2 linked regions of the Xenopus tropicalis genome follow. The protein of the gene in region 2 interacts with the protein of the main gene of each other region in a biochemical or structural test. Links are inferred from orthologs where the notes say so. Each region holds a gene or a part of one and is shown on either strand. Other genes may lie near its edges.

Region 1 (4,486 bases), on a different chromosome or scaffold from region 2:
GTCCCCAATCAAAGGAAAAAAAATCAAACCTGCCGGATTTCAAACCAGATGCCGATCGGGGAGGCCCGTCGTTGGTGCCGCAGATAAGCTACCAAATCGGTCTCAAGAACCAATATCGGATAATTATATCTATATATATAATTGGGTTATGTAATAAAAAGACACTACGTTTGCCCAGGTCTAGTAACCTAATGCAACAAGTCAGCAGAAAGAATTTACAGGATACCTGTTTACAGACATCTTATTGGTTGCTATGGATTACTGCACCACGGCAACCTTAGTGCCTTTTATTACATATGGAGCAAAGTGTCAAAGTATAATAAATGCCTCTTTGCAGATTTATATTAACAAAGAAACATGCATTTTTATTAAATTTAAAAAAATGGCAGAATTTTAGTTTCATCTTAAGCTCTATTTATTTTGCTTGGATATATATATTATCCCTTTAAATTGTAATCTGCCAAGTGACCCATGTTAGAATACAAGGCCAATAATCTGTCTACACAGTTAAAGGAAATGCAAATCTTTAAAAAGGGGGAAAAATGACTAACTGCTTGGATAACGTTACACCAAAAGGTTAACTTCCCCTTTATTTTCAAAAACATTACCATGAGACATATTCTGTTGTACAACTCAAGGCGCAGAGTTTGCCAACACTGGCTATTTTAAAGTAACATATGGCAATAATAGGTATAAAAACGATACAATGTGGTAGGATGCACTCCCAGGTGCCTGAACATGAGAATAACCGAGCAAGCTGAATGTGCATGAGTGCTGCCCAGGCCAGCACTGAATTTGTTGCCAAGCCGTCTCTGTGTACAAGAATGAATCAGCCGCTGATGTGATACTTGAGGAGAGGCAGTGGGAAACTGCACCCTCTGAGCTAGTTAACCCTTTACCTGCGAGAAGAGAAGGTCACCTTCAGCAGATGGATGGATAGTGGAAAAAGCTGAACAACAATGTGCATGAAGGCTGCTAGGAGGAAACCCTGCCTTTTTGCATACAATATCAGTGTGACCTGCTCCCCCACTTTGGGGCCAGATTGCTTTCCTGTGATAGCAATGATATGGTAAATAGAGCTGCAATAAACAGGGGTTAAAGGCAGTGCACACTGACCACAGTTGCAGCAGCTGGATTTCCCTATGCATTCCTGGCATTCCTAATCCAACGTACCCACCTGCCTAGTCATCTGCTGGGAACAGCACCAGGTCTATCCCTCTCGGCACTGCAAGGATGGCTACGCCGACACTCGAAGCTCTGTATGCAGAACCAGCAGCATGAGCATCCCTGCAGTTGCCCGTGTAAGTCAAACCGCATTTAGTACGGCACTTAGATCCCCCACATAATATTATACAGCAACAGCTAAAATACAATTATTTCTATAGTGATCCAAAGAGACCCATATCCTACAGAGACACAGAACCTTTCATTACTCTGAAAGAGTCTGCATAAATCCCCTCTTAATGTAGTACAAGCTCTATGGTACAGTCTTCATTTAAAGCCAGAAGTATAATAATCAAATAAAGGATGGGAAACCGACAGCCCTCCAATACACAGGGAATGCTGGAAGTGTTAGATCAACAAGTGAGGTCCCAAACATTGGGGCTCCTTGGCTGACCAAGATGGAAACAATATATCAGAATATTAGAAACCAACCCACAAATCCACCAAAGGTCAAAAGTAAAGTTGCAATGTGTGCCGAGTCTGCTCATGTCTAACCTCAGGGCTTGTTCACACTTGCGATTCTGCCATTGTTATTCTGTTGCAGTTTTATTACAGACTATTAGGTTGCTCACTGGCCAAATGCTTTAAGTCTCTTGCCCAAGGGCAAGTGAAGTGCTATAAAATATCACAAATTGTCACTATAGAGAAGGAACCCCTCGGCGTGTACTGCCTGTTGCACTAACTCTATTATGTGTCTCATAAAGAGAGAAGGCAAGTACACAAGGCACAAACCCACATACAGTACAGTTACAGCAAAATACAATGCCAAGCAATAGACACACTGTTGTTCCTCATGTACGCGGATGACTTGTCACTTTAAGAACCACATGAGCTTGCAATCATAGGCAACAGGAAGGATAGCAACATGACTGGTATCAGTTACTACATTCCCTCCAGCCCATACAATACAGACAGTATTAGTTGCAGAGGCAAAAGCAGGAAGCATTAAGTTGCATGTTCAGTAAGTAATTCAAAGGCTTTCAAAAGATTGCAAGCTCACTTGGCACCAACATATGACTCGGCATACAAGGCTAGGGCATGGGAGGGAAGTCTAGATGCCCATGTGGTGCATATAAGAGCATGACTGCCATCAGATAATGCCAGGGAGCTGGGTGTCCATGAACAAAAGAGAGTGCTAGGGAACTGCATCCTTTTCATTACAGTAATAGGGTGTAAGGTAGTGGGGGTGCAGGGTGCCCATTCCACAGGGGCAGTTTGGCATTGGCTGAAAATAAAATAGAAATGTAGAGATAGGAGGATGCTGGGTGCCAATGCAAAAGGCTGGATGGGAAAATCAAGCAATATGGGATGTTGGAAGTGTAGACTAGAACATATCAGGGATCATCCACCTATTAATGAACTACAACTCCCAGAATGCCCTGACAGCGCCCGGAAGAGCCACAGGTGGGAGATGCCGGAGTGCATGGCCAGGTGGGAAGTTGATGCAGAGCGGCTCTTTACTCCATTAGCAGGAATGCGTCTAAACTTGCCCCCACCCAACACCAAGCAGCTTGGGGTCCCGACTCCGGGACGTATCATGCGAGCACCGCCAGTGGTCCCGTAGCAAAACGCACTTACCTGCCGGCTCAAGCCTCCCCGAGGGTCCGTCCGCCTCATGAGGGACTGCACGGTCCCGTTCCCAAGGCGCAGTATAACTCCCAGACGTGCTGTCCCCTACCCGGTCTCCATGGCGCGGTGCCCGAACCCTGCCGCCCTCTCCCCAGCACACCGAGCCAGCGCCGGGCTCCGGGGCTTTCCGCGTCACAGCGCAATCTCGCTTCGATTGGCCGACCGAGGCCCCGCCCATCTTACCTATTGACCTGCCCCTGGGTTCCAAATTCACCAATCGCTCGCTGGCCTGCCGTTGCCTTGGTTACCGATGCTGTTGACTGAAAGGGGCGTGGAAGGTTTTGGTCAGTCACGATACTCTGCTCGGGATGTACCATTAATGCGGGAAAGGAGGGCTGGAATTATTATCGGCACAGAACGATCTGAAGGTGAGATGCTGGCAACATTGTGCTTTTACATTGTCACTTAATCCACATCCCCAACTCCCTCCGTCCTAGTAATAGTCTCCATTTATTAAACCGGCAGCTCTCTATTTCTTATGGAACTACAACTTCCAGCATCCTTTGCCCGGGGTGGCCCTTTCAGTTTCACTGGGTAAAATTCGGATTCTCAGCTAATTTTTGTTAGTATAAGAGAAAAAAATGTGTTTTTTATACAGTTTACTTTTATTTGTATAGATATTTCCCCTAATGAAATGGTTAAAAACATTTTGAGAATTTTCAGTCATTATCATCCTATGAAGACTTATTCTGACATAACAAAAATGTGAAAATTGAATTGTTTTGAATGCTGGAAACTCAGGACAGCTCTGATAAAGGGTTTTTATGGTTTCCGCCACCAAATAAGTTTTACTGCTTTAGGGCTCTGGTACACGGGGAGATTAGTCGCCCGCGACAAATCTCCCTTGTTGCGGGTGACTAATCTCCCTTGTTGCGGGTGACTAATCTCCCTTGTTGCGGGTGACTAATCTCCCTTGTTGCGGGTGACTAATCTCCCTTGTTGCGGGTGACTAATCTCCCTTGTTGCGGGTGACTAATCTCCCTTGTTGCGGGTGACTAATCTCCCTTGTTGCGGGTGACTAATCTCCCCGATATGACATCCCACCGGTGAAAAAGTAAATTGCCGGTGGGATGGCATACGCGGCGGTGCGATCTCCGAAGTTGCCTCTCGAGGCAACTTCAGCGATTTCCGCAAATCGCGCCGTCACCCATAATAGCGAAGAACTATCGTGAGCGACTAAACCGCTCTGTGGGTTCTTACCCTTAGGCTACTGCAGGAGATGCCTTTCCACCGACAACAAAAGGAGTCGCTGGTGTAAAGGCCGATGCATCGCTTCAGCTTTCCGAAGTCGCGCAGAGTTGCCTGAAGGAGGAAACTTCACGCAACTTCGTAATACCAAAGACACGCAAAGAGCTTTCGGAGTGTTTAGGCGCCCGCTATAGCAGAGATCTATCATAGGCGACTAAACCAAACTCATATTTTCATAAATAGGAAAAATATTCACATACAATTTGTATTTAAATTTGCACGGGAAAATAGCAGGAAATTTTCTAAGAGGAGACCATCCTGGGCCCCCCATGGGAGGTGCCCACAGGTGTAAAGGTGGCCATACACAGGCAGAATTAGGCTGCTGATTTGGCCCCTTTTGACCGAGGCAGCAGTTTACCTGCCATGTATGGGGCCAATATCTAAA
Region 2 (3,821 bases):
GATCTTGCACTTGTAAGGCACTGTAGTCATTTAAACTTATTTCACTGCGGCAAGGTAATTCCTGAGAGTCATTGTTTAACAAAGACATGGTAGGTGAAGCATCTGGATGACCACTATTGACTATGTTTTCCACGGTTACCCGATCTACTGAAGTATAATGACCAAAACCAGGAAGAGTGTTCCCACCACACCTCTCATCTGGCAAATCTTTTGGGGTTTCACTTAAGGTTGCTGCTGGGTACAGTTGGTGCACGTCATAGAACTGATGTGCTCCACTGTCTCCTTTCTTAATATCGCAACAAATTTCAATTTGCTCCTCCTCAGAATCTGTGGCGGTTTGTAGTTCTGACATACAAGACTGGTTCTGAAGGGAGGAGATCATGTCGCTTGTAGAATCAAGAAACGACTCCGAGTCGGAATCCTCTGCCGTTACGTACATAGAGATGGGCAGGTCGAGCGAACTGCTTAAAATTTGGTCTGACAATGAGAAATCCTCCTCGGTCAAGCTGCTGAAATTGCGGGAATAACTACTTAGGCAGCTTTTGTCCACTGCAAATTTTTTTTCCATCGACAGGGAGTCCAAAACAGAAAATGCCAAAATGTTCTCCGACTGGCTTGTGCTTTCATCGAAATTTGTAATGCTGCTACACAGCTCTGTCTTGGCTTCTTCTGTTTCTGCATCGACACGGTTCCCTTGTCCCGAGGCCACACAAGCTTCCATTTCCTCTGTGGTGTTGGAATCTTTAGCAAAGTCACATGAAGGAGCTCCAGAAAAATCAAGCTCATTAATAAAATCATCAATATTAGTGACGGTGCTGTCATTTCCTGCTTCCAGGCACTGGATTGTCAGTGAATTCCCTGCTTCAATAGTCACTTTGGCTGGAGTCGAGCAATCTGCTGTGTGCTGGGGCCCTTTACACTGGCTGTTCTCCTGCCTGAGGATCTCCACTTGTTCCACAGGTCCTTGCTGGTCTCCTCCTGAGGCCATGATGATGTGTGACAGCCTATCAACAGCTGTGAGAAAAACATGTAATCCAGTATTAAAAAACAGCAACTGAACATTCAAATACATTAAACCTTTATGCCATGGATTCTTTCAATGAGGCCTTGTAGCAATCATAACAATGTTAAAGTAAAACTATACCTCTACAATCAATACTAACAGATAGTTTATCTTATTAAGTGGTCTATTGAATAATCTTACCAAATTTGAATATATATATCATTAAATATTGCTATTTTGAATATTTTCCCTTGAGCCGCCATTTAGTGATGGGCTGTGTGCTCCCTCAGAGATCAGCTGACTTTCTCCATGCCCGTTTAGCCCAACATCTGCCCTGCCCATCTCCCTGCCCCATACCCCTGCCTAGTCACCTATTTCCCCACCCAAACCCAAAGGCTGGTACAACCTTATTGTCAATATGTATCAGGTTGTACATTTTCTGCACTGTGTGCGAGTCTTCATGGGAAAGACACACAGTATACAAGTGTTACCTTGGTTTCACATCTGGCCAGTACTCTGTTGCTAAAGAAAAAGGCCATATCAATCATATTCTTCAGCCTCTTTAACGTCCTTCACATAGTCTTTCAGGATATCCATCACTATCCCCTGTAGCTACAGCCATAACCTGCACGCTTAGGTCTCCCCCAACTATCAGAGTGTATCACAGTGGAATTGCTGGTGCAGTATTCACCACTGTAAGTCTGGGGTGAGACACACTATCTGGCCTTATAGAGCCATTCTATCAGTCTGTCTGCTCAAGCCCTCTACCTGCTCACAAACTCTGGTCAAGAACAGCGGTTTTCGCTTTATACAAGCCTATTCATTGCCTTCACCGGACAGTTGAAATTCAATAAAATTCAATCCGAGTGCAGCTCACAAGTAAAAAACGGTTGGGGAACCCTAGCTAGCTTAGAGGAAAACTGCAACAGGGGAACCTAGATAGTAAGTATTGTAGGATCTGCTACAGCAGTCGAGAGCACTAATTCTAATTAAAGAAGCCTAGTTTGACTCAATGCTTTATTATCTGTGAATAAGAGAACAGTTATATAGACCATTTATGGATAATAAAAAGAGACATTGCTATGGCTTTCTTGCTTCATAAAACAAGGGTATTCCCAAGGTCTTCCATTCACCTACACAGTTTTGTCCAGGTCTAATATCCAACTGTCAGCAAGCATCTGATGGCTGTTGTGATTTATTAAGATGGGAGGTGCAGTATTATATATATAGGCCCCTTGTAGGGTGCGTTCAAGATACCCTCAAATGCAGAGCACCTTGAACTTATATATAAAGCACAGAAACCATCCGTGTGTATGAAGCCTTTAACCAGGATTTTCCCAGGGGCAGAATGAGGCAGTGAAACAGGCCCAGAGTCTGAAAGGAATGAGCCCGGCAGCATTGTACCATTACCTGACAGCGGCTTCCGCACTCCCAGTGTAACGGATGAAGGCAAGCACTGGATAAAATCACAAGTTTGCTGGTAGGACATCTCGCTCACTTGAATGCCATTAATCGATATAATCTCATCGCCAGCCGCTAACTTTCCCACAGAATCCTAACAAAATGACAGTTATAAATCAGTTCCATTGGCTGCAGCTCATGTCCCAGCCGGAGCAAAGGGCAGAACATGCACCATTCATACAGTTCCAGAGAAATAAGTATTTATAAAGGCAATCACAGTAAGAAATACAATATGCACATAGGGGACGAGGGGCTGTAATGGTGTCGTAGGATAAGCTGAGCTGCCGGCAGATACATTTAAGAGCTAAATTGTGGTTTTCTTAAGCAATATAACGAGCTTTTAATCCAAACATGATTGTAGGGCTGACTCCTTCGTAAAAAATGTTTCCCCCAATGTCAGTTAAAGGGGACGGTAACCTTTATATTGAGCTTTAATATAAAGAAATATGTAAGTACAAAGAGGGAGCTCAGTAGAAGTGATACCACTAATACCCTCTTGGGAGGTAAAGGGAAAGTTATGAGAACTTCACTGTTGTCTTCTATGTCCGGTTTCTGAATTATATGCCTTTCTAGTTTGCATCTTCCTTGTCAGAGAGCAGACTGATTATGGGATAGACTGTTACTGCAGCTTTTCTTTTTCTAAATTACCTCTCTTCCAATCCATACTTCATCCTGGCATTCAAACAAATGCCGCTGCTAGGGTGGTGTAAAAACAAAGGAACAGACTGTAGGGGAGAGGGGACCAAGGGTAGACAGAGCCCATTAAATACTTAAAATGCACCTTTATTAAGAAAGCATTCCCCCCTCCCCTCAACCACTTTCCATCCTGTGCGCACACCATTAGATGTTAAAGTACTTGGGGGGATGTTGTTTATCTTGGTTCATTATACAGCACAGACACCATCGCATACAAGGTCCGGTTTTAAAAGGGAATCTGTCAAGTAATAAGAATTGTTTGCTCACCATGGGAAACTGAATATGATATCCTCCTGCCCTGCTGAAAACCACATGTATCTATTGATTTAAGGAGTGGTATATATGTATTAATGAGTATAACTTGCCTTGGCTGGGTCAGAATGCAGAATGCCCATATAGTCACAATGACAGCACTTACCCCTGTTCTCTTTACTGGCAGCCTACAAAATAACCTCATCTAAACTTTTCCTTGTTTAGGTGGAAAATAAATGGAAGATAAACATTACTTAGGAAAAGTCAACTTTCCCATTAATTAACAAAGATATTGGAGGTGGCAACAGAACCCTAGGAGAGTGCACATACCTTTTCCCCTTCTCTGGCCGGCCGTAACCCGGTTATTATAACAGATAAAGGACTTTCTTTAATCTCCAGGTCCAGCCCC

The links.
Region 1: the proteins of pdzd2 (region 2) and pkp4 form a complex in vitro, tested with the Homo sapiens proteins (2 studies listed by BioGRID and IntAct, with this or other methods). The link is inferred for Xenopus tropicalis from reciprocal best matches to the Homo sapiens genes PDZD2 and PKP4.

The regions. Positions count from the first base shown.
Region 1 is NC_030685.2:73,687,397-73,691,882, forward strand, and holds the start of pkp4 (plakophilin-4), read right to left. Parts: upstream 2,984-4,486; 5' UTR 2,803-2,983; intron 1-2,802. UniProt on the Homo sapiens protein: Plays a role as a regulator of Rho activity during cytokinesis. May play a role in junctional plaques.
Region 2 is NC_030677.2:200,908,351-200,912,171, reverse strand, and holds part of pdzd2 (PDZ domain-containing protein 2), read right to left. Parts: coding exon 3,743-3,821; intron 2,559-3,742; coding exon 2,414-2,558; intron 1,015-2,413; coding exon 1-1,014.